Alligator mississippiensis: one gene and its partners. The protein of the gene in region 1 purifies or fractionates together with the protein of each later gene. This does not show direct contact. Links are inferred from orthologs where the notes say so. Each region holds a gene or a part of one and is shown on either strand. Other genes may lie near its edges.

Region 1 (7,242 bases):
CCGGACCACCTGCCGTGTGCTTGTGATGAAAGCTTTCCTTATACCCAGCTCTGTTGCATCAAGGTTGAATTTCCGAGGATTTGCTTCAACAATGCGTTAATGACAAGTCAAGGAAACACTACTGAACCAGTAGTCAGCATTCAGGCAAATATCCTGGCTACCTGAAAGGATACTACTACCTAAGTGCTATAATTAATAAAGTTAACTGGACCAAGATTTGGTTAGTTAGGAAAATCATGCATCTGATGCTTAACAGTCCTTGCATCCTGCCATTGTGTACCAATGTAAAGAGCCCGCTGGAATTTTTTGGCTTGCCTGACTGGCACAGCATAGCACTATCAGAAATTGTTAATTTTAATCCTTTTTCAACTCTCTTTTCTGGAGCTCAGTGTAACAGAGGACTGACTGCCTCCAGTTAAAATTCATCCCACAGAAGGAACCTTTTAGAACAGGGCATCTTACTTTTAACTATATGTTACTGATCAAGAAGGAGAGAGGACATATAAAAAAAAAAGGTTACTTTGAGGAAAAGCTGGCATGTCACTGACTCCACTGTCTAAACCAGTGGTTCTGAACCTTTTTTGCATTAGGATCCATTTGTAAACATTGATGGCCAGTCCCAACCCAGTGCCCCTCAATCCTGACCGAATGCCCTGCCGTTCCAGCCCCCAGTGTGTGGGGCAGGGGAGGGCCCATGCAGCCCCTCACAGGCTGGAACTCTGCCAGCTTGCAAGGGAAAAGTCACCATTTCCCAAGTTGTTCTCCTTTAAAGGATAATCCATTTTTAAAGTTTGTTGATCCATTTTTGTTTGAAACCCCTTCATATATTATTTTGGGTCACAATCTATAGGTTGAATAATTCTGGTCTAAACCATACAATGATATCTTATGAAAACAGCAGCTTCTGAAAGAACTTTATAGCATACAACGCATATTTTCCAAGAAACTGAATTACTCTTTAAAAGCCAGCCTCATCCTTCAGGTAGAAATAACACAAGGCTGTATCTAAACTGTAACAGGTCCATATAAAGGATATTAATAGTTTCATCCAAGTCTTCCAGGTCCCATTCAATGCTCCGCAGGTTGTTCCTGAGCTCATTAGTTGTCCAGTCAATTTCTTCTCTTGTGGCTATAGAAGGGTCTTGCAGGAGCTCCGTCCATCTCTGAAACAACCCCTGAGCAGTATTCACTGCTTTTTGGACCTCCCTGAAATCAAGATGATTAACAAAAATACTAATGACTCAACTACACAGAAAAACATTGTAGTACAGCTCTAACAGAATCATTCCACTACTGCTGTAACAGACTGATTCTCCATGTAGACAAGTGGTGTTTTTCACTGTTTTGGCTTTAAAGTTATTTGCATTAATGACCTCCTCTCAAGCATCCTCCCTTCAACCTGCTTGATTTTCTCTTTAAACTAATCACATAAGCAGAGAAAAGTTGGGCTAGAAGGGACCTCAAGGGTCATCTAGTCCAATCCCTTGCTCAAGGCAGGATTCCCCACAAACACTGGTTACTAGATAATCAGTATCTTGTCTTGTCTTCTACCCCAATAGAAACTGTGACAGAATTTCATAACAGAAAGACAGTGACAGTTATGGAAAGGATCTACCTCTTTCACCTATTGCTGTTATTAAAAAGAGAACTTTAACATTTCCCAGACAATTGCACTGCTTTTTCAGTACTCTTCTGTGGATGGAGGAACCCATGCTACTCTTTAACAAACAGACATTTTGCATTTCTATAGCATCTTTCATTCCAGAACCAACAAGGACGAGGGCAATCCTGGCATGTTTCATACTGTAATTTCCTATGCACATTCTCCACTACAACATGTTGCTACTTCCTAATCATGGACCATAAGAATTGCAGGAACTGTCCCTACAGAATTTCTGCATGAACCAACTGTGTCCAGCTTGGATCTGCTTATTTCATTTTTCTTTTTTGTAATTTACAGTACTTATTGAGCTATGTTTGCTTAATAAACTCAACTGCTTTACTGCTCCAACAAGTGTCATAGAAAAGTGTTTCAGATGTTAGCATGAGAATGCATGCTGCTGAAAGCACTGAACATTATAGTTATTCTCTGGGATCAGAGGGCAAATAGCAAATATCTACCCATAAACATATGATTATCTGCATAAGTAAATACTGCTGTCTTATTCCCAGGGAATATCCTTTCAAATGAATGGAAAGTTGGGATGTAACACTTATACACAAGAGGCATGTTAGCAAGCTTTTCAGGTCTTATGATCAGCTGTAAAAAGCTTGCCCCACGTTTAAGGGTTGCACATAACGTGCAGATCTGTTCAAAGATGTGGGGACTTCTGTTCTTTGACAGATAGGGGTTGGACTTCACTAATAAAAGCTTAGAGTTGATCAGCTGTGTCCTCAGCTTGTGGCCATGAAGGGGATGAACGTGGGCCAGTTAGAAGGACTGTGTCCCGCTTTGGGGTACCCCAGCCTGAAGCCCTCAGTTTTCTGTCAAGGGCAGGTCTTGTTTCCTGTGCTATGTTATCTTTCCTCCCTCCTCTTTGTCGGTGCTTCTCAAACTACACGAGAGCAGAAAATACAGTAAGGTTGTTCTTAGGATCCTAGGAAATTAAGAGCTGGAAGGACCTCACCAGGCCGTCCAGCCCTGCCCCAGCTCGCGGCAGGCCGGCTCCTGGCCAGCCCCTTCCAGGCAGCATCGGAGGACGGAAACTCGCTGCCTGGGCCCGCTCTGCCCCTCCCACTCCCTCAGGGACACCATGGAGCCGGCTCCAGCCCGGCACGGGGAGCGCGGCCGGGTGGGAGCTGCTCCAGCCGCTGCCAGGGCCGGTAACCTGCTCACGGCCCGCCCAGCCCCTGCTGCGGGCTCCCCCACCCGGTAGCCCGCGGGGCGCTGGAACCTCGCCCGCCGCCCCCGGGCCCCGCCCCGCACAGGCAGCCCTGAGCCGGGAGCGCCCGCCCCGCCCCCGCGGGGGCCTCCAGCCCCGGCCGCGCTCACCCCTTCACCACGAAGAACGGGTCCTCCATGGACATAGCGGCGCGGCGCGGCCCGACCCGGACCTAGCCCCGGCTTCCGCGCCCAGCCGGACTAAGCCCAGCCCCACCCGCCCCACCCCGGCCGCAGTCACGTGACGTAAGAGCACCGCCCCGCCCCGCCCCGCCCCGCCCCGGCGCTGGGGGGAGGGGAGCCCGTTCCTGTCGTCACGTGACAGTAACAGGCACAACCCCGTCAATCCCCGCGGGAGCGCGGTGTGCACTTGTGCCTGCTGCTGTCACGTGACAGGTACAAGCCCAGCCCCCGCCGGGGGACGCGGTGTGCGCGTGTGCTTGCTGACGGAAGTACTGCGCAGGCGCTGCAGCCCCTTCCTCTCCGCCGTGACGGCTATGCCCGCGCCCTGCCTGGCTCGGCCAATCACAGACTTCGCGGCCGCTCGGTGGTTGGAAGTTGACGCGGGCGGGCGGGCTGCGCGGCTTGGCTGGGCTGGTGGAGCTGTTCCAGTTTGGGGCCTCCGGTCCCGCGAAGCAGGAGGGTAGGCGGTGTTCCCGGGTGTACGACCATTACCGATTTGTACAATAACTTCGACCCTTGCACGGTGTCCGGCCAATGACAGTAAAAGTGCCCAAAACCTACCATTTACTTTTCATTCCATCCAGGAAGAGCGCACACCAACTGCTGAAACTTCCTTAGCCTGACAAAGGGTTTTTGAACCCAAAATCTTGCTTAATACATATTCTCCAACTATTTGAGTTGGTCTAATAAAAGATATCAAATTCACCCAAGGACCCTTGTCTGCCCAAAACCTACCATAATTTTTAAGCAACTGATTGCTGCATCACTTGCAAACCCCAAATTGTTTCCAGAGGGCTTTAGCTAGGTTTTGGGTTTGCTGTCAGTGCTTTTCTATGCCTACTGACCTTGAAAGAAATGAATCAACTTTAAGATCCAATTCTCACTTGCTCACTGGCAAGTTACAGTGAGCAGTACAAGGTAAATAAGACTTACTGGCAGACTTATTTGCATATTTTTTCAGTGTAGGGCAGCTTTTCAGCAAATATGATAATTTTGAGCTTCCAATACAATAATTTAAGACTCGAGTGCCGTGAGGTGACGTGTTGTTCCCGGCCGCCTGGGGCCTGAGGAAGAAGGAAATCTCCTCTCACTTAAGGGCCAGCAAGTCACAGCGCCCGCGGGACCCTTCATACTGTTCTTTTATTTCCTCTGTCAGAAAACACAGAAAACAAGCTGCCATTTTCCAAGAGCCGCCTTGAGTCTAGTGATGGGCACCTTGAATCTAAATACAGTTGAGAGCCACTGATAGGAAGGGAGGATACTCTCGTGGGGGGAGCAGGGGGGCAGGGAGCAGATGCATGCATGGGTATGGGTGAAGCATGTGGGGCACAATTTGAGACCTTGGGCAGGGACCCCTGAACCGGCCAAATAATGTGACTGCACTTTTGCTCTGTCGTGCCAGATGTCCCAGCTGATAGTGCTTTAAAGTAGGAAGCCTGTTTGGCAAGGCGACTTGCTCGCCGTGGGAAATCTGTGGAGCAGTTTTGCAATCTGGAACAGGATAATCGTGAATGTTGAGGGAAAAGCCATTGCGGATTGCGAAACCAGGGAATCAAATTCAGTGAGAGAGCCTCTTTAACGATAGGCTTTGGATTTTAAATAAAACGCCCCCTTTAATTGGGATGATGTAGTCACACGTCGGAGTCCTTTGTTGCATGTTCCCATGGCTTGAGTCATCCGTAGGCAGATGGAGAGGCATGCTCTGTCCAGAGTTCTTCGCTCTCAAGAAGAAGGACACTTCTTTGTGAAAACAGAGGGTGTCTGAGAGGACAAATGGAAGGGACACAAGGGAAGCAGAATGGGGAACCTGTCTCAGGCTCTTCTGCCCTTCCTGTCCTCGTCCAACCTGCAAAAGAAAACACTGGGGTCTGTCCCAAAGACTACTACTGATTCCCGTCTTTTCCAGGCTCCCCTGTCACCTTAAAGTTTCACAGTCCCATTCTGTTTGAATTCTACCTCCCTTTACAATCTCCCTGCCCAAGCAGCTGCCAGTTTCAGTGAAGACAACTGCCTGTGTAGTTTCCACCACCTTTTCTGCCCTATCTGTACGTAGGGTGGCCATCATAGAGGACAGTCCGGTTGTCTAGACTAAGTAGCAGAAAACAGAGTAGCAGAAAACTGGAATGTCCTCTATGATGGCCACCCTACCTGTACATCTACACCAGTGTTGTTGCCTACTTACATCCGGCTGTTCCTCCAGTAACTTTAGGCCTTTGCTCTTCTACTTTAAAAGTACTGAAAGGCTAGGGAGACCTGTCTGCTGGGGTCTGACCACAGTTTTGGTTGAAGGAAGAAAGTTAACCTTTTTCATGAGAAAGAGATATATGTGGCTTTGAATTGTTGAGCACTTTCTCATTCTTCATTTCTTTCTGGGAAAACTGTTGGCACAAAAGCTCTCCCCAGCTGGGAGTCAGTTTCTCCATCTGAGAATGAAGCCTTTATTTCAATTGAAATGTTCCCGCAATACCTGCACAAAACCAGTAACAGTTACTCCACATTCCTCTTCTCCTTTTCTGGAAGCAACAATAGAGGCTCCTATGTCTTTTATTTGGTAACAGGTGTAACTAAATACTTCCATGTTCAAGTGCCAACTGTTTTTCAGGTGCCAGCATGATCTGAAGAAGCAAAATTTCTCGATGTGTTGCATTTCATTTGTATACTATAAATTGGTTCATGCAGTTGTGTACTGAGTAATTTTGCTACCTTCCAGGAAAACACTGGTTCAGAAGTGCAGAGATCAGTAGCTTTATCAGTGAGACCTGTTGCACATTTTTGTGGTAGCCAGTTGGTAGTTCTAGGCTGGTAGTAGCAGTTTGGTGTCTTCAGAAATTTTGCTGGTGAGTCAGCTTAGTTTGAACTTGTTAATTACGAAGACAGTTTGCTGACATGTAAATGTATTTCTACACAAATGCTGTATTTTAAGAACATCTTGTTAAAGGTTATCATATTTGGACTTATTCAAGCAACTGCAAAAGTCCTAACAAAAGTGATTTATGGTGCTTTGCTGTCAGTATTGTGGAGTAGTGCAATTCATCTCACTCAAGTGTGGGATCTCATTCAACATTATCTGGATCAAGAGTGAATTAAACAGAGAACAAGTCAATTCAAATAGTAGCTTGTAATAGTAATTTATGGAGATTAGAAGTTCCTTAATAAAGTACATTAACCTTTTTTTAGCAGAGTTGTAGTGGTACTGTAGTCATGGCAGTCATGGTAGTCCAGGGAATATGCAAGTAACAAGTTTTGTTTGGTAATTTTTTTTTACCGGATAACTTTATAGTTGAGAGAGAATTCTTTTCTCAAGTCATTCTAGGAAAAAGTTTAAACAAGTTGGAAAATTGCAAAGATCTCTATTGAATAGCTGAGAATTTTCAAAATTCACAGCAAGGAGGTGGTTCTTTTTTTTTAAGCTGAAAGCTAATTTAATATAAATGATATTTAAAATCAAAATATCACACTATCAAAAAACCAAGCTCTTTTGACTTTCTAGGATGGGTGTGGTCTTGTCTCAGTTCCTGAATGAAAGTTTTGATTTCACTTTGCAGTGCTGCAGATTGCTCCAGTATGTTCCTCCCCTGGCCTGCCAAAAATTTCTGGTAGAGGAGAGTCTTTGTAGGCTGCATCCCACTGTAGAGCCCACTGGGAACTATTCAGTGAAAAATATTTGATTTGTTGAAGCCATACCAGTTTTGACAAAATGTTCATCAAGAAAGAGTTCTTACTGTGCCTGTACACACATGCATGTACCTGTCATCCCAGAAGAGCCATCGCCTTCTGAGCAGGATCCTCTTCTGGAATGTAGGAGCCCCATCTTCAGGTCCCTGCTCTTCTACTCCCCTTCACCCTAGGTTAGTACCCCCAACCACTTTCTCTAAAATCTAAATCTCTCCTGTGGGAGCCAGAAACAGTCCCCATAGTCCAGTCATTAGAATACTTGCCTGGAATGTGAGAGACTGACTCTTCTGTGGTGTGTGAAGGTCTTTATCTTTTTCTCCTCAAGAAATGGTAGAGGGCCTTGGTTTCACTTCTATGCAGAACAGAAAAACCCAGAATATTTTGAAATCCTGAAAATTTCATAGATTCATAGATGTTAGGGTCGGAAGGGACCTCATTAGATCATCGAGTCTGACCCCCTGCATAAGCAGGAAAGAGTGCTGGGTCTAGATGACCCCAGCTAG
Region 2 (8,048 bases), on another chromosome or scaffold:
GTACAGGGGTGTATATTGAACTCATCTCTCAAAAACTTGTGTGTCTAAATGAACATTAAGTACCTTCATTCACTTGTGCTCCAAACATCCAGTCCTTTCTGAAGGTAGGTAGTTAATTGACCAGGGGTGGTGGTGCCACCCTTATCTTGCAAGCTAATCTAGATGTCAGAGCATTTGCTAGCAAGAGGGAGACCAGGGTTATATAACCCTGCCAGCCTGAGGGGTTTCAAACACACAGTTCCCACTTCTCGGGTAAGTTCTAGGTAATAGGAAACTCTTCATCCATCCTGTTAAAGCTAACCTAAGCCTAGGACTGTGCACATGTTATACATAAGCAGTGAATGGTTAAAACAAAGAAATAACCCTGGGAACAGGGATGGGAACCCAGGCCCACATCTCAGAGTAGTGCCCTAGAAATTAAGCTACAGAGGCACATTCAGTTGTGCTGACTCTCCTTCTGGCTCCAAGAGTTTTGCAGTCTTAGCTGTGCAGTAGCCTAGCTTTGACAGGAGGGATGGGAGGTGTACCTACATAGATAATTCCACACTCTGATGATTAGGGTAGTTTCTGGGGAGGTCAGAGGTAGGTGTTTGGGTCCCTTTAGGTTGACAACAGCCTGGAACCAAAGTTCCCCACTTCTAACTACTAGGGCGACTGGGGAAAAGTTGGGCCTAGTCTCTACTGGTGTTTTCATGCTGCACTCATTGCCATCAGTATAAGTTAGAGATGCCACAATTTTGACTAGAAGATTAGGAACTTCGGCATTGCCCTAAAACCACTCTTGATTGGAAGGAGGGACTGGACAGGAGGAGACTTAGATGAACAAGTGATCAACTTGAATCACGTCTGTGCATATTCAAACACCAAGTGCAGGCAAAGTACCCAAGAAATTTTGGAGTCCAAAATGGAGTCCAAGTGCCATCTGAATGTGGGCACCTACTGAACTCTGGGGCTGCTGGAACAGAGCCAATAGAAATCAGTATTTGGAACATGGGCACCTAAATTCCAGGTAAGTCCCATTGAGGTGCTTATGTAACCAAGAAGGAGCCGGTTCTTAGCTCTGTTAATGCATTTTTCTAGTGGTAACATTTCCCACATATCTTTATAACAGGCAAGCGAAAATTAAAAATGTGTTTCTATTTGATTTCCACAGAAAACATGGCTATTTAAAAACTTACTTAATTGGCCATTGACTTGGAGTTGTGTGCTTATGTGATTTTTTTAAATACACATATTTTAGTTATACCTTATTGAAATAGTAATGACTGAAGAGTTGAGATTTAAGATTGTTTTCAGAAATAAAATCACTGGATAAGATACTGCATGGACACCATGGATGCAAAGTGAGCATACAATGTGTACTATTGATGGTACTACCAACCACTTCTGTGGAAATAGTGAGGTCTTGGCTAGAAGGCTTAGCTCAGTATGTGTGTGAAGCATGCCTCAGCTATTAGAATTGTGGCATTATTGCTTACTGAAGAAGGCAGGGTAGAGATGCACCTTACAGATTAACTGAATCAGAGATGCATAAGCTTTCATAGTAAGAGCCAACTTTATCAGATGCTAAGAAAGGGCATGCAGAGAGCAGGCTACCAAATAAATCAGAATGCTGAAGCCCTGGCCTGTGGGCTGGATCTGGTCCATAGGACTCTGCCTGGGTTTGAAAATCTGGTGGCAGGGGAGTGGTGGCAGCTAATTGCTCCTCCTCTGTTGTCATATTTCTAGACCCAGGGGGAGCCCTATGGGCTGGACAGCATGACCCTGTGTACTAGACTGAGTGCATGAGGCTGAGTGGGATGTCCCAGGGTAGCATGGCACATGGCTGAGTGGGATGGCATAGGGCTGAGCAGGGCAGCATAAAGTTGATCAGGGTAGCACGGATCTGAGCAAGATGGTGCAAATCTGAGCGAGGTGGCAGAGATCTGGCAGAGGCAGCACAGACCCCAGTTTGGCCCACAGACCAGCCCTGCAACACTTACCTAGCCCATGGGGCCAAAAGATTGAGCAATACCAGCACTGCGTGATTTTGATGCAAAAGACAGGGAAGGAAGGGAGGCTGGAGACTGTAGGGGAAAGGGGCAGTGCTCAGAGGGGCAAACAAATAATGCACTTGTATGGATGAAGGGGTCACTAAAGCTAATCCAGGTAATGGGATAAGGATCCCTGTTTAGACTATGCTTCACACAAGCCAGTCTGAGGAACTTGTTCCACAATTTTTTGTTCAAGTTGGCATTTAAAATTCTACTAAGACAGGGGTGGGCAATTATTTGGGCTGGAGGGCCACTTAAGGAGTTTTGGTGAGATGTGGAGGGCCAGAGGAGAGGAGGGGGGTAGTGCTGACCTGGCCTCTGCCCCCCCGTTACAGCTGTTTACACTGCCTGGCAGGGTGCATGGGGTGGGGTGGGGGGCTGGGAAGATGCTAACTGATCCTGTCTGACCCGAGGCCCATCGGCCCCGCATCCACAACCAGGGGCACTGGACAGAACAGGCTGGCAGGGTCTCCATAAAGACTGACCAAGGACCCCTGGGGGCAGGGTGTGCTTGGCCAGGCAGATGGAATAGGGCCGTGAGTAGGCAGGGAGCAGTGCCTGTTGCAGGGACATGTGAGGAGCAGATCATGGCTCTGCCTTGGGCCCTGGCCCCACTCTATCACTGCCCTGTGAACCCAGCCCTGGCCCCAGCTACCCATTCTACTCCCAGACTCTGCTCCCGACCTGCCCATGACCCCATCCCATTCACTTGGCTGAGCTTGGCTGAGCTTGCCCAGTTTGCGGGGGCCCTGAGCCAAACTCCATGGAGACCTTGCCCACTTGCTTGCCCATTCTGATCAGTAGGTGCAGGGTGGATGGGCCAGGGTGCCTGGGCAGCAGGACTGGGTCCAGTAGTGGTGGTGGAAACACTGGCAGTGGCAGCTGGAAGCGTGAGGGCAGAGCGAACTGCCATCATGGGGACTGCCGGGAAGCAGAGTCAGGCCACCATGCTGCCACAGCTGCTACCCCATTGCCGTGCCACCCAGCCCCCAGACTACAGCTTCTGGTGTGCCCAAGAGCTGCATTTAGGGATAGGGCAGGTTGTACCTTATGCCGGGTGGCACCTCTGCACCCAGGGTGGCAGGACCAGCTGCATGCATTGTCTGCAGTGCCTAGGCTACCTCCTGACCCTGGGCCAGGTGGGGCCAAGGGACCTGCCATGAGGATCACCCTGTCCAGCAGCAGATGTAGTGGGGGTGCAGTGGTGCAGTTGCACCCCTCCTTGATTCCTGCTGTACCCAAACTTAAAAACCAACCTACTGGTTCCATTTCTAATCAGGCAACACTGAGGGAGTCAATTTACTTCACGGCTTACTAAAATCTACCTGATTCCTGCTAATGTCTCTTCATTCCATAGGGGTTAACGACCCTCTCTACATTTTAATGTCTTTGATGTTCCACTATTCAAACCGTCTTTCTGCAAGTTTGCTGTCTGCCAGCCATTCCTGGTAATATCTCTCTTCTATTTCAAAGCCCAGCAGACTGTTTTCTAGCTCCAGCTAAAAACCTTAACTCAGGTGTAGTAATATTAATTCAGTGTAGAAACAACTGACAGTGAAGTATTGGAGGCACTCTCAAAACTCTCAGGAAGAGCAGATTTTGTTTTACCAATTTGAATAAGAGATGTACATTTAACAATGATGACTGGAGGACTAATGGCACAGTATCTTGACTATTTTGACCATTTTTGTCTAGTTTCTTGTGTTTTTTAAACTTAATTTAGAATCTAGCAAATGAGGGAACATGCTAATAAAGTTAGATTTGTTTTTGCTTTGATCTTAAACTGAATAATATAGCACGAGGCCTCTAGCGTATTAGTAAAGCTTCCAGTTCCTCTTTTAACTGGGACAAAAAAGTGTCATCTGTGGTGATGCACCATATCAGTTGCACAGCCCTTTTCAAAACCCATGGCTGCAAGACAACCCCTTGGTGGCCACATGTGGCCTCCAGGCCACCCATTGAACAGCCCTTTATCAGGGGACAGACATAGGTGATGTTAATGACTCTTTTAACTGGAGGAAAAGATGTGTAGTGTCTTATGTGATAAAGTGCCACATCATCCATACCCTGCTTTGCACTGTCCTAGAGCAGCCCTACCGTCCAATGGAAGTGGCAGCATTTTGAGTCAGGCAGCACTGAGGGACTTGCTTGACGTTGTGGCTCATTGTCCCTGATCCTTCCTAAGCCCTTCATGTGACGGGTGAACAACCTTCCCATCTTTTTTCATGCTCTGGAGGCTCCAGCCAGCAACCTAGCCTTTCTTCTGCTTTCTTTTCACCCTGCTGTCCATTAGGGCACTGGTTCTCAACCTTTTGTTTGTACCAGGACCCATTTGTAAACAGCAATGGCCAGTCTAGGTCCAGGGCCCTGCACTCCTGACCTGCTCCCCCAGTGTGTGTGGGTGGGTGAGGCATGGGGGAGGAGGGAGGGGGCAAGCAGCCCCTTGTAGGCTGCACCTCTGCCAGCCTGCAAGGGAAAACACCCGGTTTCCAACATTTTCCTCCTTTAAAGGCCAATCCCTTTTTCAAGTTTGTTCAAGTCCACCCACTTCTGGGTCGCGACCCACACATTGGGGAACGCCGCTTTAGGGGCTTCTGCAGCGGCCGACGGGTTTTTAACACGCTCTAAAAGGGGCCTTATTTGTTTTTTTGCCTCCTGCTGCAGCTGAAGAAGGCAGCGCTGCGGCCCCAGCCTAGTGGGAAAGCCTCTCCTTTCCATTTGAACGGGGGAGTGAGCAGGTGCAGTGCCAGGATCACAGGCTCACAGAAGAGGAGGGCTGCAACAGACCTCAGGAGGGCATCGAGCCCAACCCCTCAAAGCAGCACCAGCCCCAACAACTAGCTCGTCACAGGATGCGCCACCCTTCCCAAAACCCAGGACTGGCCCGAGCCCGGCACAGCCGCCCCCAGTGCGGGCGGGGCGGGGCGGGGCGGGGCGAGGCGGGGAGGTCGCTGCAGGCACCGCCCCACAGCCGGCTGGGGCGGGCAGGACCGCCGCGCTCCGCTCCGCCCCGCTCCGCCCCGCCCCGCCCGCTGACACTGCAGCAGCTGGCAGCGCCTGCTGGGCCGGGCCGGGCCGGGCAGGTCTGGGGTCGTGAGCTGCCGGGGCAGCAGGACCAGCAGCGGAGGTGACGCCGGGGTGAGGGTAAGAGGCGTTGGGAGTGGGGCGTGCAGGGGCCACCGCCCTGGGCCGGGCCGGGCTAGGCGGTGCAGTGCAATGCGGGGCGGGGCAGCCCTCTGGCCCCCCGCGCTGGGGGTCCCGGGCCGGGCGGGCTCCTGGCCCCGCGGCGCGGCGGGAGAGGCAGCGCCGCGCCCCGCTCCGCTCCGCTCCGGCCTCGGCCCGGCCCCGCCGCCAAGGGGGAAGCAGCCCGCCGAGGCCCGGGCGAGGGTGTGTGTGGGTGTCTGTGTGTCTGTACGTGTATACACAGCTATGTGCAATCAGGACTCGTAGTAAGAGATTATATATTTTATTAGACCAACAAGATTTTTTTTGCAAAAAAAATTACACAGCTGTGTAATACGTGTACATTCTCTGTATATGTGGGTGGGTGGATATGTACACACCCCCACACATGCGTATGTATATATGTGTGCGTGTTTACCTATAGCAGCAGTTCCCAACCCCAGGCCACGACCCAAATGAGGGTCATGGGCAATGCTGGTAGCACTGCACAGAAAAGATGAGCCGCCGCACCGTGTGCCAGGGGCTCCCTGGGCCACCACATGCCGCTCCCAGCAGCGGGGCATGGCGGGGAAAAAAAGGTTGGGAACCGCTGACCTATTCAATGTGTCTATACGCTATCTATCTAGCTCTAAACAGTGTGGATGCATACTGTATATGTATGGATATACACATACCTACATAATGTGCCTATGCTGTACCTACCTACCTATCCATCTCTATCACTAATATATATATATATATATATATATATATATATATATATATATATATATATATAGTGTAATGTTGGGGGGGTGTATATGTATATATGTGTGTATACACACTTTAATAATGTGTATACACTATATCTGTCTAGCCATCAATCTAAAGTATGCAGTGTGGGTGCATATATGTATAGATGTGTGTGCATGTGTGTTGTAGATCATATATAATGCATGTAGGTATATATACAGCGTATATGCCTATGCACACATGCTCGTGCATGCACAAATGTATATACTGTACATACATTATATAGGTGTGTATACACATGTGCACACATATATAGTGTACATACATTGTATGGGCCTGTATACACATGCATGTGCACACATAGTGTATGTAGACTTTATATGTAGTGGGTATGTATATGTCTGTGTATGTGTGTGTACACATCTGTATCATATACATTATATGTAATATGTGTACGCACACATGCACAGATGTACATGCACATATGGCCTCTTTTCCTGATGCTGATCTCAGAGGCCAGCTGAAGGCTTCCAGAGTTGGAAGGGATCTCAAGGGTCTTGTGCCCTAAACCCCATACACATATACTACTCATGTGTAAATAATCAGCCATGTTTAAACTCACCTTCCCTGCTCTTATCTAGCTTGATGCCTCATGTAAAAAATAATCCTGTGGTCCTATGTGAGATGCAGAAGTGTATGTAGGTCTTGCTTACGATGAGAAGTTGTAAAGTCTACTTGGATTTACCTTGTTTCTAACAGCGATTCTCAGCCACAGAGCCACGGCATCATGGGGTTCCTTGAGATCCTTTCAGGGGGGCCATGGGGTACCATGCAGTTTCAGTGCTATTAGGTTTACAGATGTGACTCATGAAATAAACCCAGAAGTTTCAAATAGAAATGCATTGTTGCGGTTTTTCTGAGTTCTTGGAAAAAGAATTGCTCTATCATTTTTCTGTAGTCAGAAAAATGAAGCTGGCATTTTCTGAAGGGTTGAGTCTCTCCAGGGTTGCTTTGAGTCTAAAAAGGTTGAGAACCACTCTTCTAATGCCATGACCTCCAAATGATAGTTTAAATGACCTTTTTCTTGCCCCCAAATTCAAGGGACTTTCCTTTTGAAGAATCTGAAGTCAAGTTTTACTTATGTGGTTTAGGACAACTTTAGCATTCAGTAGTAGAGGGGGAGGGAATCGGTCGGCCTTGAAAATGGGCATCATCTCTGTGCCATAATTTGTTCTTTATATGCAACAAGACTGTTGTTTCAGTCTTGGACTACTTCTAAGGAAAATATGGACAGAGATTCAAGTATGGACAACTGCAGTAATCATGTGTGTGTATATGACAATGGAACTTAACTTTCCATGTAAATTATATGGATTTTTCACGTTCCTGGTACAGTGCTACTGGGGCCTTTGCTGTTGAAAAGCTTCTACACTTCTCTTTCTCAGCCTGAGAACAAGACAGTTCACAAGTCTAGAAACAAAAGTGGGAGTGATATGTCTGGCTCTATTGTCTATTCTGTGTGAAATGTAAACACTGGATTCTTAGTTAAGGTTTTATCAGAAGAAATTTAGAGCACTTAGTCCCAGAATGGATACATTTTTGTGTCATGTTAGCTTCAGGGATAATTAATTATATGTATAATGGAAAATAGTTGGAGGAAAAAATAATCTAGAAACAACAGGCAAGAAAGTTGAGGTGCCTATATCAATTGGGTCAGTGACTACTGACTAATGCATTTATTAATTATATGTTCTTGAGGCAGAAAAATATTTACATCAGGGCAGGAGGCTTTTTATATAAATGCTGCAAACAAATAGGGGAGAAGCATTAAAAGTCCCTTAAACTGAAACTAGTATGAGGATTCCTAAATTCTTTAGTAAAGCTTCCCTGTAAGGTTACATGTCTCCAGTACACACAATGAAAACTATATCCTTCTGTAAGGGGATATGTTACTTAAGTTTTACATATTTGACTTTTTTTAGAATGCATGCCAACAAAACAAACTTAACTTGAAGGGAAGCTCTTAAGGAACATAGCTAATTGTATTTTATTGTAGTAGTTCCCAAAAAGCCTGTTTGAGATTAGGAAATAGATTTGTGA
Region 3 (7,883 bases), on another chromosome or scaffold:
GAGCTACGAATCAGGACACAAGACAGGAACTGGAAGGATGGGGTTAGGTAGGACAGAGATAGACAGAAGGGGACAAGGGTTTAAACCACTTGATTCCCCCACTGCCTGGCAACACCACAGAGGTAGGAGTGGTAGGGGGTTAAACACAAATTTAAGATGACCCTCCAATAACTAGAGTCTATACATAGACGATTAAACCAATTTATAAAAAGTGTCCATATAGAATCTAGGTCAGCGGTAGGCAACCCCCAGCACGGGTGCCAGAGTGTGGCACGTGAAGGTATTTTGCTTGACACTCATACCATGGGGTGGATGGTGGGGAAGGGCCCAGGGCTGCACTGCTACAACAACGTACAAGTCAAAGTTGGGGGTGTTTCTGGCACTCTGCCCAAAAGTTGTCAACCCCTGAATTATAAGGGGGGGGGGGGAGGGGGTAAAAAGAGTAGTAATCTTAAATTCAGATTCATCTTGGAGTCAGGTAATTACAATAACTACAAGTTTCAATGTCTTTTCAGCTCCTGAAAGGGGAGACTCATCCTCTCTCAGAAGCCAAGCTCACCAATGTCTTTTTAATGTCCAAGTCTCGCAGAGTTAGTGCACAGAGCAAGTGAACCAAGGGTCACTTACTAATATAGGAAATATAGGAACAAGTTGCTTGCAACAAATGAAGAAACAGTACATGAGACTAAGGGCAAGAACAAACATGAAGAGATGCTGACCCTTCGTTAACATACCCAGGCAGACAAATTTAATTTTGACCACATTACATTTTAGCTGCATCTCCCTCCACCCACCACCTCCCCTGGGGTCTCCTGATGTCAGCAGACCAGGAGAAGTGCAGGTGAAGACTGTACCTCATCTACTTGATGCTGTGTTTGCTGAAGACGACGATTACTGCCAGAGGCAGCGCTTGAGCTTCCAGTGCCACTTGCCGACCTGCAGAGATAGTTGTAGTTATTTTATACTGCATCCCTAACTGGGACACAAGACTTCCAGACAGATTTTGTATGCAAGTCACAGAAAATGGCTCAGCAACCAGTCCCCATTCTCAGTAGGATGAAGAGACAGAAATGCAGTTATTGCCACAGTCCTTCAGTGGGATTCTTGCAACTGCCCACAAGAATAAAGCCTCATCCACCTGCTCTAAAGCAGGGATTGTGGGTAGCCTTCCTGCCACTTTCAAGCATCCCAAAAAACAAAGAACCAGAAAGCAGCAGGGTAAGGCACACCTGAGCTTCCTTGCTTCAGCTCCAGTTCTGGAGTGAGAGAAATAGAAACCGATGGCCAGTAAGTAAACCCTGGCAATAGCAGCCTCAATAGCAGCCTAGAGGCAATACAGACATTCCCTCAGACCACAGTCTCTCATAAGTTAGTAGTCTTTAAGCAGCAAAGAAGTGAAGTTAGCTACGGGCAGAGTTCCTAAGTCTTTATCACTAGTGCATGGCTGTAGAAGCAGCAGAGGGCAAGCAGAGGCAAACTAATACAACAGCCAAGAAAGAAATAAGAGATAAACAATAGCTCACATTGCTATCAAATGCCAAGAACTGCAACCCATCAATATTTTTCTCCCTTTTGAAATAAGGGCACATGAATTCAGGCACATTTTATTATTTGAACTTGGAAGTTCAATAGCTGTCAACAGAAATTCAGATCAACTTGTGGAAAAAGAGATGGTTTCAAGTAATTATGTCCATGCAGCATCTCCTGCTATTTAATAATTTTCCTAGGTCACTAGGAAAAGAAAGCCAATTCAGTATTCAGTGCTAGATATTTCAGAAGACAAGAAGCTTCATAAACAGTTACAAAGCTTCTCTGAACCCAGTTTTTTCCCCAGAGCCTCAGGTAGCAAGTGACTGTGTTATTTCCTTCTACAACTTTAAAACTTGAAAGTTTATAAAACACAGCAGGCATTTCCTCTCTCTCTCTCATATCCTTCCTAAGTTAGGGGAAGTTCTTCACTCATCTGCTCAACTTTTATACCTCTTTTATGAACACCAGGTGCCTATACTTCAGTGCAGAGGCTGCTCTGACATTCTGCAATTACAGTGTAGCAAACTCCACTAATGGAATCTGGAGTGCTAATTACCACACTCCAACAGCCAGCTTGCATCTGGTATATCATGTCCCAGCACTTCAAAATAGTGGTAAGGGCACTTTATTTTCAAACACACCCCACTGCCATTTTGAAGCACAGGGATGCTGATACACCAGACCCTTCAGGTACTTTAATTAGAGCCCCTCTAATTAAACTCCCCCCACCCCTGGAGCAGGTGTATAGAGTGCACTGTGCTTAGTATTCTGGTTTCCTCTGTTCCGGATCCAAGCACACCATTACATTCCCCTTAGCCAATATCAACAGGTGGCAGTACTCAAGCAATTAACTTTTTCTAGGAGTCTTGAAAGCAATATCTGCAGTTAGAAGCGACTGAACTACCCCCGACTTAGAAGTGAATTCCCACTGGGCTGTGCGTGGAAGGAAAGGGGAAGGCTCAGGCCCCTTGTCAGATCTCTAGGGGAATCCTCCCGGAGAGCTGGATCCCAGCACTGACAGGACTGGTGCCACCTTTTTGAGTATGGAAGATTAGCCCCAGCACCTTAAATCTTTCACGCAAACTGGACGCCTCTTAAACAGAAAGAAGGCTGCCGTGGCTCCCGCTGAGCTCGGGGCACTTCGGGCGGGTGCGAGAGCCCCTGGCAACGCTCTTACACGCAAGGAGCCACCGCGGCCGAGGCCCACGCTCGCCGCCCCCAGCTCCGGGCCCGGCCCCTCAGGACCAGCCAGTCTCGAGGAGCCTCTTGCGGGCGGGCGGGCGTCACGGGAAGGGACGAGCGGCTCCGCGCCCCGCCCCGCCCCGCCCCGCCCCGCCCAACCCAGAGTTCGGTCGCGGGGACGTCGCTATCAGCCCCCACCAGGCCCCAAGGAGCGCGACAGGCAGGGCCTAGTGCCGCCCCCCAGCCCGCCCGCCCGCCCAGAAGAAACCCAAGGACAGCGCCAGCTCCCGGCCCAGGACACGCAACGACCAAGCCGGGTCCCCACGGCTCCTCCCCTGCCCCGGACTCACATGCTGGCGGGCGGGCGAGCGGCCTCCTGCTAACCTCACGGGCGGCCCAGGGAGCAGCACCAAGCCGGAAGCAGTGCGCAGGCTGGGCAACGGCAGGATATGACGTCTGGGGAGGAGCCTCTTCAGCCCACGCCACGGCCTGTGGGAGGGGCCTGGCCTGGGCCGCCGTCGCCCGGGGCGGGGTCGCGGGCCGGGGGGGGCCGGGCCGGAGGGGGAGCAGCAAGGCTGAGCTCGCAGTCAGTCCGGCGCCGCCCGCGCTACCTGGGGCGACCCGAGCCTGCCGTGCCGCGGCGCGCGGGCCATGTCCGTGTGGGCAGCCGCCCCGCCGTCACCCTTGCTGCAGAGCGGGCGGCCCAGCCGGCCGGCGCGGCACGGAGCGGGGGCCAGAACCCGGCAGCCGACGTGCTCGTCCCGGCTGAAGGGCCTGGGCTCCAGCGCGCCCGTAGCGGCTGGGCCTGGCTCAGGAGGAGACTCGCACCCCCATCCGGCACACCCCGCCTGTCCGCCGAGGGCGCGAGGGTCGGTTGCCGGGCGCAGCCCCACCTGGATGTTAGTGAGGTGAAAGGTTCAAAAGTGCCTCGGGTCTGTAGGGAGCCTGCACCCCCTCCCCCTACCTAGCTGAGGGCTTGTCCTGTCAGTAATGGCTGGCGAGACACTGCCGTGTTAGTCTGAAGTCAAGTAGAAGGCAGGATAGTGATGACGGTGCCAGCTTGGGTGGGGGGGTGTGAACTCCAGCACTTTTGTGTTACTGTGTGGGGCTAGCTGGCAGGCAGCCTCTGCACTGTAGCACCCTCGTGCCTCAGCCAGCCCAGGCCACCATCTACATGTGTGTTCTGGCATATGCAACTACTCCACTGTAGGATAGTATTTGTCTCAGACAGTACTACCCTACAGCAGAGTTAATTAGTTTACTGCACTCTAATAAGAGGAGCACAGGTAGATGGTGATGCTTTACTGCAGAACTAATTAGTTAGCTCTGCGGTGAAGTGCACATGTAGAAGCACCAAGGGGTCATCCAATGTGGTCTTGCAGCTGTCTACATTTAAGTGTAGGGAAACCTGAAATCGCAGTGTCTTGGCCCGGTACAACAATCTACCTTGGCAGGCTTAGTTGTCTGGGATCTCTGCATAGTCTGTGAGGACACAGGGACTGCCGAGGTGTAATCTGGTTTGACCAGATATGCATGTTTGAATCATTTGACTCAGGACCAGCACACCTTCTGGATTATTTATGCTATAAAAGCAAAAAGGGTTATTTCCATTACTGAGGTCTGATGTAATGTAATTTCCCAATATTTCCAATAGGAGAGGTACTGACTTTTGTTTGCAGAAAGTTAAAAATTGCTAAATGAAATATATATTTTATTATTATATATTTCCATTACAATAGATTCTAAAGGCCTTAATCAGGACTGGAGCCATCTAAGTGCTGGTCAAATATTTCTTGATACTTTCTTAAGCTCCTCCTGTTCCATTTTATTCTGTTAACATCATTCATACATCTATAATCTTCCTGGATGTAGGGTTCAGTTGCTCCTTCCTGCAGGGAAGTGTCATTAATATTGTGCAATAGAAACATGAGCACTTGTACCCTGGTTTGCATTGGAAAGTGCACACTGTGAGTAGCACATCTCAGTCTGGAGAGACAGTGACTGTCATGCCTGGAAACTGGGCCAAATTCATCCCTGAAGGCATGGATCAAACCCATCAACATTTGATCAGTTTTCAGTTGTTTTCCTTAGAAATTATTCTGCCATCTCATACAGCATCATGATCTCTAGTATCTGACAGACACTAGTCTCTGAGCCTGGCTCAGAATTTATCTCCCCTGACTGTTGGCTTCAGGGGAGTTACAGCAGGGATGAATTTGCCCCCACATATTTTAAATACAGTGAGGTTTCTAGGGGTTGTAGCCATGTTGCTAAATGTTGCCATGAGACACATACAGAAAGGGAGACCAGCGTCCAGGACGGCAAAACCCATTTCCTTTCTGCTGTAAAAGCTGATTTAACAGTCAAAAGACAAACTTTTACCCCATAGCAAAGGGAACCAAAAAATGGAGGAAGGAGCCTTATCCAGCCTGTCCCACTACTGCCTAACTAGGAAGTGAGGTGTGAGGACCATGCATTCTCCCTGAATCTTTTATGGCAGTGCCCAACACCAGGCTGAGCATCTTTGGGCTGACCTGAGATCTTAGAAAGATGTGGCAGGCAGTGCACTTCTGAGTAATTACCTGGAACTCTTGGGGGCATCAGAAGCCAGTTGAAAGTCCAGTAAGTTTAATACTTAAGAAGTGTCCTGAAATGTGCTGGTCTACATACCGGATGGAGGGTACACATTACAATCCAGAAGAAAGACAGATCAAGAGATTTTAAGGATCACATTCTCTCAGATGTGAGTGCTTGGACCCACTCAGTGCAGTCAAACCTGCATATCCACTACACAGCAGGATTTGGGTCTATGATAGTTTAAAAAAAAAATCAAAAAAGACAGCTGCGTTTGAAATCCAGCCAGTCAAGAACCTGAGTGATGTTTGCAAATAGGTCATGTGACAGACTTGCTTTTTAAAAGGCTAACTATAGTTACTCAAGGAAGATGCAGCTCCTTGGTTAAAATGGAAGGTTAAAAAACACACACTTAGTATGGGGAAATTTTCTTTGTTTTTAATTTACAGCAGAAAGAATATAAAGCATTCAGAAAACATTTTCCATATTTTAAGGGCAATTCAAAACATTTTGCATGGTTCCAGCAGCTGAGTTCTTCAACAGATCCATTGATTCAGTGATGCTTTACATGCACAGTTACAAAAATAAAACTTACAAAAGAGAGACATCTATACTAGTTTTACATGCAAGTTTTGGGGACTCCCCATCGGGCGCCAACTACTGTGTGGAACTGCTGTAAGCGTGCAACCATAGAGGGGGTTCATGTTATATTCTGTATTTCTTTCACACAGTATTACTGTTTTCAGATGTGTTACATGAAGGAGCAATTCCACTTGCAGGAGACAGAAGATCCTGCTCCTGGCACTTGGGAATCCTGATTTTCCCAGAAAGCTGCACTATCATCTATTAAAATATGAGTTCCACAATCAAGAAAAGGGTGAATAGAATCACTTCACTTCAGTGGGACAGTGTATTTAACTCACCAGTGGTCACTGATACACTGAAGACTTATGACCTGACACGGCAAAGCACTTAAGGATATACTTAACTTTAAGCATGTGAATACTCCTATGGAAGCTAACAGAATTGCTTACATGCTTGATATTAAGCACGTACTTATGTGTTTGGCTGAAGCAGGGCCTCTGTCAGTAGATACATCACAAGGCCCATGGATTTGAAATAGCTCTGTATATTACTGACTCTGTCGGCATGTCTACATGTGCAGTTAATGCTATTTGGCTATTCTGTGCAGTAAATTTACAGCGCGGTAAACTAATTTACTTCACAGTAAGCGGTGACGCTTTACTGCACGGTAGATTAGCCTGTTGCACATTAAATCATCTCGTGTAGACACGGTTTCTCAGTACAAACGCAAGGGGTTAAATACTGCCACTGAGGTCATTACTCTTTCTTGTTAGGAAAAGATCAATTATATGTGCCATAATACTGGCAAATGGGACAAACACATTCAAAGTGTCAGAGTTCTTCCAGTACTAATACAGAGCATTCCAGAAGGAGTTTCTTTTTTCCATTTCCTGTTCCCATTTTTTGTGTGTGGAATACATAATGTGTATTCCAATTCAATAAAATAAATTGAAGTTAAAAGGCTGCCACAGCCACAATGTGGCAGCCAGACAATTTCTCTTATTGAATCAGATCATAAAGCAGCAGTTCACAAATGTACAGAGTGTTCTGATCATGAGCTATAGCACATACACTGTAATTCAATGCTGGCAGTGAAAAGAAGTAATTAAAAACAGGTACAATTATAGAAAAGGCACCAAGAGCACTGACCCCAGTTTTTTTGCCACAACCTTTGTCTTTACTTTTCTTTTAAAGACACCAGTTTAAAAGTTTATAATCTGTGATATTTTTAGGCTTCACAACAAGCCTTGCAATTACATATTTCAGTTGGTGGCCTGGATCAAGTAAGAACAACTATTCTAAAACTAACCATCTAAAATTTACACCAATCATTTGGAAATTTTAAACTGGCACTAGCAAAATAAACACACAGGAGCAGTTTCTGATGTTAGCTACACCTGTGTAAACCCAGAGTAACTGTGCCAATTTCAGGGGTATTACTCCTGATACGTCCCAGTGCAATTAAGATCAGAATCTTGCCCATCCTGTTTAAACTTTACGACAGTTTTACATTAGTATTTCACTTTTTAAAATATCTGATTTCTTTGGCTCCTCACTATGTGGAAATAGCAATATACCATGACACCCCTACAAGATCAGTTTGCATCTTTTAAGTTTTTACTTATTTTTATTTTTTTTTATTTTTGTGCAATTTTTATTACATTTTCTGACTTCCAGCAGGAGATATGAAAATGTGAAACATATTTTCTACTTTCATACTATTTCTTTTTTTTCAGTTTATGTTCATTCTAAGTGTTCTTTATTGGAGTGAGTGTATGGTGTTAAGCTAGATACGATTTTGTATTCTTATGATTATCTGCTTTGCGAAAGTAACTTAATTTTTTTAAGCAATATTAGCATTCACATTACTTGGCACCATTGGCAAAAGAAATACAGAAAGAAAGAAAATTAAAATAAAATAAAATAAACTCCTGGTAGCCAAAATCAAATGTAAACATATCCTTTTTTAGTAATGTTACTCTGCCTTTTTTCCTAAGTCTAAATACAGTAGC
Region 4 (7,622 bases), on another chromosome or scaffold:
GGCTACACTAGAATTAAACCACCTAGAAAGATCAGGATTATGCTAGATGATACAGTCCTTCCTGGGCCAGTTTTATGGACAGCTTCAAAGACAATGACTAAAACCCTGAACTTGACCAATTGGCTGAGAGCTAGTTATGTGAAAGGAACAATTCTGTGTTACCAAGCCTACAATCTGCTGGATTCTAAACAAGCCATAGCCTTTTCTTAGGTTTCACTTCTCAGTTCACAGAGTTACAGAAAGTCAGCCCTGGTGGTCACAAGGCTATACTCCCATAGAACAATACTGTACATTGCTGGTTTGCCCTAGCCACTCCTCTAGTGGAGAAACAAAGCTGGCCAGACAGGCAGGAGGCAACTACGTGTCAGGCCATGCAACAAGAGAACATGCTGACTGCGAGGAGATTCGTCCACACTGGTAGAAATCCCTTCCTCTGGCTCCTTCCTTTTTTCAGTTCTTGAAATACACGATAAGCTCATCGTGGGACTTACAGGGAGACCAGCTGCCGGGAGGGAGGGGTGCTTTACCTACCACTAGCACCAGCCTCCCATTAAAACAAAGACATACAAGGAAAAGCATCCTCTTGCCAGCATCGCTTCCTGCACTGGATACTGCTATTGAGCCCATTTCTCATGAGCCAGTTTCCCTGAGCAGCGCAGGTCTCATACAGGAAAGAAAAGTAGTTTAGAGCAGTGGTGCAAGGATTGCCAGGTCTTAAATACAAATTATTATATTGGAAGCTCAAAATTATTATATTTGCTGAAAAACTATCGTACACTGAAAAAATATGCAACTAAGTATGCAAATAAGTCATCTTCTTACTTACTGTAAGTTGCCAGTGAGCAAGTAAGAACTGGGTCAAACTCAAAACATTTCTTTATTTTAAGGCAAGCAGCCATAAGAAAGTCCTGTAACAAGCCCAAAATGTAGAGGGAATCCAAATTCCAAGACTTCCGGGCTTAAGCCTGCACGTAGGATGCTTGCCAATTAGAGGTGCACCGACTGGTTCATATCGGACTGGCACCGATAAGAAGAAAACTGACATTATCAGCAATCAGCTTTTTTTGGCTAGTGTAGCCAATAATGTCACCAATAAATGCTGCATGGATCTGCGCAGGCACAGCATGCATGTGGCCAGGAATGCAGCCTGGCAGCTTGGAGAGCAGCATCCAGGCAATAAGTCTGTGGTAGGGAAAGGCAGGGGCATAGGGCTGCAGATCGAGGCCCCCACAGTGAGGGAGGGAGTAGGGCTGGGTCAGGGGCTGCCCAGTCAGGACAGGGCAAGAAGTGGGATGGAGCTGCAGGTGGCTAGTCCGGGGGGGGGGGGGGGGACGGACACGACACAGCTCCCTGATGCTGTGCACACCTCTGGGGGAGACATGGGGGCATGCGTCCCCCAGATTTCTGCATGCAGCGGGCTGTTCACTGCGGGCTCAGGGCCAGGGGCTGCACCAGCCTCTTCCTGGTGGGGGGCTAGGTGGGACTGGGGCTGTACGTGGGGTGGGTGGGGGCAGGACAGGCAACAGCAGCACTGGGGGCAGGGGCTACAGGGAAAGCTACAGCCACCCCAAAATTAGCTGTAGCCACTCCATAGCCTCCCACTCCCAGGGCCACTGCCACCCACCCCAGCCCTGCCTGCCCTGAGCACAGCCCCGGCCCAGCTCTCCCGCCAGGAAGAGGCTGGCGCAGGCCCTGGCCCCAGCCCACAGTGGGCAGCCCTCCCTGTCCCGTGCAGAAATCCAAGGTACACATGGCCTCCATGCCTCCCACAGATTTGCGCACAGTGGCGGGAGCTGCCCCCCCTCGCTGCGCCTCCGTCCCACATCCCACCCCAGCTGGGCAGTGCCTGCTCCTGCCCCACTCCCTCCCTCACCAAGGGGGCCTTGATCTACCCCCGCCATGCCCCTTCCCTCCCCCTCCCCTTCCACCCCACAGACTTACCAGCTGGACCATGCTCCCCAAACTGCTAGGCTGCATGTCAGCAATCAGATCTGCATCAGCCAATATAGCTGGTTAACAATTGATCATCAGTATCAGCCAAAAAAATCTTTATCGTTGCACCCCTACTGCCAATGGACTTGGGAGTATCTGAAGTCCTCAGGAGACAGCCTGGGACAGAGGACGCTCACGGGTTCTAGCGCCACACACGGTGTTCAGAATGATCGAGTTCTGCCAGCTCAGTCGACGCGGGCTTTGAAACGATTGAGTTCTGGCTCAATTGATAGGATTTGGCTAGTTTGACCTGGAACACGAACAATATTAACAAAAAACTTCCCAAGAGCGCCTTGGGTTTTGCATATGCTGCCTCAATGAGCTGCCTCAAAAGTTATTGGACATTTTGAACACTTTTACTACTGTTGAGTGTATATCATACGAGGGTTGAAATGATGGCACAAATACAGTAATGCCTGCACACCCACAGGGTCACCAATCTGTTTGAATATATTCCGTGAGGTTTCACATAAGGACTTTAATTACAGCGTGCAGATTTACATCAGCAAGGCAAATGCACATTACTGTTACATTTTAAAAGCGCACTGGACTACTGTATTTAACATTTATTTTAAAGAGTGCCCCATCATTTACCCCCTGGGTGACTCCCAGCAGTCTCCTGGAGATTCACAGATAATCCCTGGGATCCAAGGCAATCCTGGAGGGGTGGCACTGGCACCCTACACACGCGGCTACACTGAGAGGTGCTCGGACGCTGTGGCGGGCACCCCGATGGGCAGTGCCGGGGCAGTACCCGGCCCGGATCCAGCGGCACAGTGGAAGTGGAAGGGGCCGGGGCCGGGCCGGCAGCTCCCCCGACCCGGGCCGCACTCACTCACCGGCCAGGCCGCCCCGTAGGCGCTCGGGGAGGACGCGCAGCTGCCCGTGCAGCTCCCGGAAGATCTCGTGCAGCCGCTCCAGGTGCTCGGAGGAGCCCGGGCCCCGCACTGCCATGACGGCGATGACAGAGGCAGCCCCTGCCCAGACCCTGCCGCCCGCTCCGCGCCGCTACTTCCGGGATGTGTGAGAGGGGGCCTCCCTCTGTCTCGCGAAGGGGGTGCCCTAATTGGCGCCTGATCAGAAAAAAAAAAAGAAGGAAAAAAAAAAAAAGCTCCGTCCGGAGCAAGCTGAAGGCAGGCTCCAGCTGCCTGTCGAGGAAGAGTCGGGGGGAGATATTCGGGAGGTCCAACTTTGCTCCCAACGGTGACTAACGAATCAAGCGCGCACTTACGTCACCTTAGAGGGCATCATCAGGACCCCGGGGCGCGCAGGGCATGCTGGGAATTGTAGGCCGGCGTAGGGACAGTCATAAGGCGGTCACGGGAGTGCCGGGCTAGTGCGGACGGCGGCGTGGTTCTATGCGGATGCGCTCAGATGACTCCAGCCAGGTGTCCAATCTCCTTTTAAGCACCTCCAGGGAAAGGAACAGCACCACCTCTCTTGGAGCTTATTCTGTATTTTGGCAACCCTCACTATAAAGGTTTTATTTCCTGATGTCCAATCTGAATTTGCTGTCTTCCAGTTTGTGGCCATTATTTCTACTTACCCTGACAGCCGCACTGGTAAACATTGTATCCCCTATTTCTTGCTAACCCCCCCCCCCAATGAGTTTGTAGGCGCCCATGCAATTACCTCTCAGCCTCCTCTTACGGAGGCTGAAGAGGTTCAGTTCTCCCAGTCAGTCCACTTAGGGGGTTTTCTGTAGGCCTTTAACCAGATGAGTGGCCCTCCTCTGAGCCCTCTCCAGGCCATCCGCATCCTTCCTGAAGTGTGGTGCCCAAAACTGGATGCAGTACTCCAGCTGTGGCCTGACCAGTGCTGCATAGAGGGGAAGTATCACCTCCCTAAACCTGTTTGTGATGCACCTACTTATGCAAGACAGGGTGCGGTTAGCTTTACTTAACTATCTCATCACACTGGTGACTCATGTTCATTTTGGAGTCGACTAAGACTCCGCGATCCCTTTCTGCAGTTGTGTTACTGACACTTATCCTTGTTAAACTGCATCCTATTCTGTTCGGTCCATTTCCCCAGCCTGTCCAAATCAGCCTGGATTCACTTTGTGCCGTGTAGTTTGTGTACATCAGGCACAGAGGGAGATGATCCCGATGGGAGGAAAAAGAGGGAAAGGGGCCAGGAGGCTTCCTTGGCTGACCACAGAAATCCAGGGCAGCCTAAGGGCCAAAAGGGGAGCACATAAAAAGTGGAAACAGGGAGAGATCACCAAAGATGAGTATACCTCCTCTGCTCGTGCTTGTAGGGAGGCAGTTAGACGGGCCAAAGCTACCATGGAGCTGAGGATGGCATCCCAAGTAAAGGACAACAAGAAATTGTTTTTTAGATATATAGGGAGTAAAAGGAAGGCCCAGGGTGGAATAGGACCCCTGCTAAATGGGCAGAAACAATTGGTGACGGACAGAGGGGACAAGGCTGAACTCCTCAACGAGTTCTTTGCCTCAGTGTTCCTAAGTGAGGGGCACGACAAGTCTCTCACTGGGGTTGTAGAGAGGCAGCAGCAAGGCGCCAGACTACCGTGCGTAGACCCTGAGATGGTGCAGAGTCACTTGGAAGAACTGGATGCCTTTAAGTCAGTAGGCCCGGATGAGCTCCATCCGAGGGTGCTGAAGGCACTGGCCGACATCATTGCACAGCCAATGGCGGGAATATTTGAAAGCTCGTGGCGCACGGGCCAAGTCCCGAAGGACTGGAAAAGGGCCAATGTGATCCCCATTTTCAAGAAGGGGAGGAAGGAGGACCCGGGCAACTATCGGCCAGTCAGTCTCACCTCCATCCTTGGCAAAATCTTTGAAAAAATTATCAAGGCTCACATTTGCGAGAGCCTGGCAGGACAAATTATGCTGAGGGGAAACCAGCACAGGTTCGTAGCAGGTAGATCCTGCCTGACTAATCTAGTCTCTTTTTATGACCAGGTTACGAAACGCCTGGACACAGGAGGAGGGGTGGATGTCGTATACTTAGACTTCAGGAAGGCCTTCAATATGGTATCTCACCCCATACTGGTGAACAAGTTAAGAGGCTGTGACTTGGATGACTACACAGTCCGGTGGGTGGTGAATTGGCTAGAGGGTCACACCCAGAGAGTCGTGGTGGATGGGTCGGCGTCGACCTGGAAGGGTGTGGGCAGTGGGGTCCTGCAGGGCTCGGTCCTTGGACCAATACTCTTTAATGTCTTCATCAGCAACTTGGACGAGGGAGTGAAGTGTACTCTGTCCAAGTTTGCAGATGACACAAAGCTATGGGGAGAAGTGGACATGCCAGAGGGCAGGGAACAGCTGCAAGCAGACCTGGACGGGTTGGACAAGTGGGCAGAAAACAACAGAATGCAGTTCAACAAGGAGAAATGCAAAGTGCTGCACCTAGGGAGGAAAAATGTCCAGCATACCTACTGCCTAGGGAATGACCTGCTGGGTGGCACGGAAGAGGAAAGGGATCTTGGAGTCCTAGTGGACTCCAAGATGAACATGAGTCGGCAGTGTGACGAAGCCATCAGAAAAGCCAATGGCACTTTATCGTGCATCAGCAGATGCATGACGAATAGATCCAAGAGGTGATACTTCCCCTCTATTGGGCGCTGGTCAGATCGCAGTTGGAGTACTGCATGCAATTCTGGGCACCGCACTTCAAGAGAGATGCAGATAACCTGGAGAGGGTCCAGAGAAGGGCCACTCATATGGTTAAGGGCTTGCAGACCAAGCCCTACGATGAGAGACTAGAGAACCTGGACCTTTTCAGCCTCCGCAAGAGAAGGTTGAGAGGCGACCTTGTGGCTGCCTATAAGTTCATCACGGGGGCACAGAAGGGAATTGGTGAGGTTTTATTCACCAAGGCACCCCCGGGGGTTACAAGAAATAATGGCCACAAGCTAGCAGAGAGCAGATTTAGACTGGACATTAGGAAGAACTTCTTCACAGTTCGAGTGGCCAAGGTCTGAAACGGGCTCCCAAGGGAGGTGGTGCTCTCCCCTACCCTGGGGGTCTTCAAGAGGAGGTTGGATATGCATCTAGCTGGGGTCATCTAGACCTAGCACTCTCCTGCCTACGCAGGGGATCAGACTCGATGATCTATTGAGGTCCCTTCTGACCCTAACATCTACGAATCTATGAATCCCCCCATAGTTCGGTGTCATCAGCAAGCTTGGACAGGGTGCTTTCTACTCCCTCGTCCAAGTCACCAATGAAGATAATTGAATAGGAGTGGTCCCAGGACAGAGCCTTAGGGGACTCCACTACCTACATTTCTCCAGGTAGAAACTGACCCACCTACCACCACTCTCTGGGTGTTTCTACCTGCCGGACCCTGTAATAATCTATATTGCAACTGTTTAGTTTATTAATAGGAATTGGGTGGGACACTATGTCAAAGGCCTTTTTAAAATCTAAGTAAATAACATCTACTTCTACTCCTCCATTCAAGCATTTTGTGACCTGGTCATAAAATGAAACCAGGTTAAGTCAGGCAGGATCTGCCTGCTATGAACACATACTGATTGCCCCTTAGCATCATTTTACCCACTGGTCCCCCACAAATGTTATCCTTAACAATTTTCTCAAAGGTCTTGCCAAAGATAGAGGTAAGACTAACTGGCTTATAGTTACCCGGTTCATCCTTCCTCCCCTTCTTGAAAATAGGGACCACATTGGTCCTTTTCCAATCCTCTAGGACGAGGATGCTCAAACAGTTGTGCCAGCGGCTCCACTATGACTCCAGTTAATTCCCTAAGTACTCTAGGACGAAGATCATCAGGACCTGTTGACTTAAATACATTCAACCCCTCCAGGTGCCCCATTACTAGGTCAGCAAAAACAGTTGGTGGGTTGGTATCTATACTGGGCTTACCTAAGGTCCTAATGGGATTCATAGATTCACAGATGAAGGGTCAGAGGGGACCTGAGCAGATCATCAAATCCGACACCCTGCCCTGGGCAGGAATGAATACTGGGCTCATATGACCCCTACTAAGTTTAAGCTCATATGACCCCAGCTAGGTAGTTATCAAGCCTCCTTCTAAAAACCCCTAACATAGGAGCCAGCACCACTTCCCTTGGAAGCTGGTTCCAGATCTTGGCCGCCCTGACTGTGAAGTAGCGCCTCCTCATGTCTAGCCTGAACCTACTCTCTGTCAACTTATGGCTGTTATTCCTTGTTATTCAGGGCAGCGCTCAGGGGAACAGGGTCTCTCAGATTCACCTCTGGTCCTCCCTGGTAAGTTTCTAGATGGCCACTAGATCCCCTCTCAGCCTTCTCTTGTGAAGGCTGAACAGGTTCAGGTCCTGTAGCCTCTCCTCGTAGGGTCTGCCCTGCTGTCCCCTGATCATGTGAGTGGCCCTCCGCTGGACCCTCTCGATGCTGGCCACATCTCTCCTGAAGTGCGGCGCACAGAACTGGACGCAGTACTCTGACTGTGGCCTGACCAGTGTCGCATAGAGGGGGAGGATCATCTCCTTGGCCCTGCTTGTGATGCACCTGTGGATGCATGACAAGGTGTGGTTGGCCTTCCTGACTGTGTCCTCACATTGGCGGCCCACGTTCATTTTGGAATCAATAATGACTCCAAGATCTCTTTCTGCCACTGTGCTTTCAAGAAGGGAGTTCCCCAGCCTGTATGTATG

What was found.
Region 2: the proteins of STX6 (region 1) and STX7 purify together in Homo sapiens (affinity purification with mass spectrometry; 3 studies listed by BioGRID and IntAct, counting the BioPlex papers as one, with this or other methods). This does not show direct contact. The link is inferred for Alligator mississippiensis from reciprocal best matches to the Homo sapiens genes STX6 and STX7.
Region 3: the proteins of STX6 (region 1) and VAMP3 purify together in Homo sapiens (affinity purification with mass spectrometry; 5 studies listed by BioGRID and IntAct, counting the BioPlex papers as one, with this or other methods). This does not show direct contact. The link is inferred for Alligator mississippiensis from reciprocal best matches to the Homo sapiens genes STX6 and VAMP3.
Region 4: the proteins of STX6 (region 1) and VTI1B purify together in Homo sapiens (affinity purification with mass spectrometry; 3 studies listed by BioGRID and IntAct, counting the BioPlex papers as one, with this or other methods). This does not show direct contact. The link is inferred for Alligator mississippiensis from reciprocal best matches to the Homo sapiens genes STX6 and VTI1B.

The regions. Positions count from the first base shown.
Region 1 is NC_081828.1:52,539,745-52,546,986, forward strand, and holds the start of STX6 (syntaxin-6), read right to left. Parts: upstream 3,102-7,242; 5' UTR 3,028-3,101; coding exon 2,993-3,027; intron 1,207-2,992; coding exon 1,037-1,206; intron 96-1,036; coding exon 1-95. Other genes in the region: uncharacterized protein LOC132250811, read left to right, coding at 3,379-3,524. UniProt on the Homo sapiens protein: SNARE promoting movement of transport vesicles to target membranes. Targets endosomes to the trans-Golgi network, and may therefore function in retrograde trafficking.
Region 2 is NC_081824.1:115,199,707-115,207,754, reverse strand, and holds the start of STX7 (syntaxin-7), read left to right. Parts: upstream 1-5,042; 5' UTR 5,043-5,171; exon of another isoform or gene 5,172-5,177; intron 5,178-8,048. UniProt on the Homo sapiens protein: May be involved in protein trafficking from the plasma membrane to the early endosome (EE) as well as in homotypic fusion of endocytic organelles. Mediates the endocytic trafficking from early endosomes to late endosomes and lysosomes.
Region 3 is NC_081836.1:20,082,052-20,089,934, reverse strand, and holds the start of VAMP3 (vesicle-associated membrane protein 3), read right to left. Parts: upstream 3,171-7,883; 5' UTR 3,065-3,170; coding exon 3,063-3,064; intron 937-3,062; coding exon 855-936; intron 1-854. UniProt on the Homo sapiens protein: SNARE involved in vesicular transport from the late endosomes to the trans-Golgi network.
Region 4 is NC_081825.1:230,760,321-230,767,942, reverse strand, and holds the start of VTI1B (vesicle transport through interaction with t-SNAREs homolog 1B), read right to left. Parts: upstream 3,042-7,622; 5' UTR 2,947-3,041; coding exon 2,832-2,946; intron 1-2,831. UniProt on the Homo sapiens protein: V-SNARE that mediates vesicle transport pathways through interactions with t-SNAREs on the target membrane. These interactions are proposed to mediate aspects of the specificity of vesicle trafficking and to promote fusion of the lipid bilayers.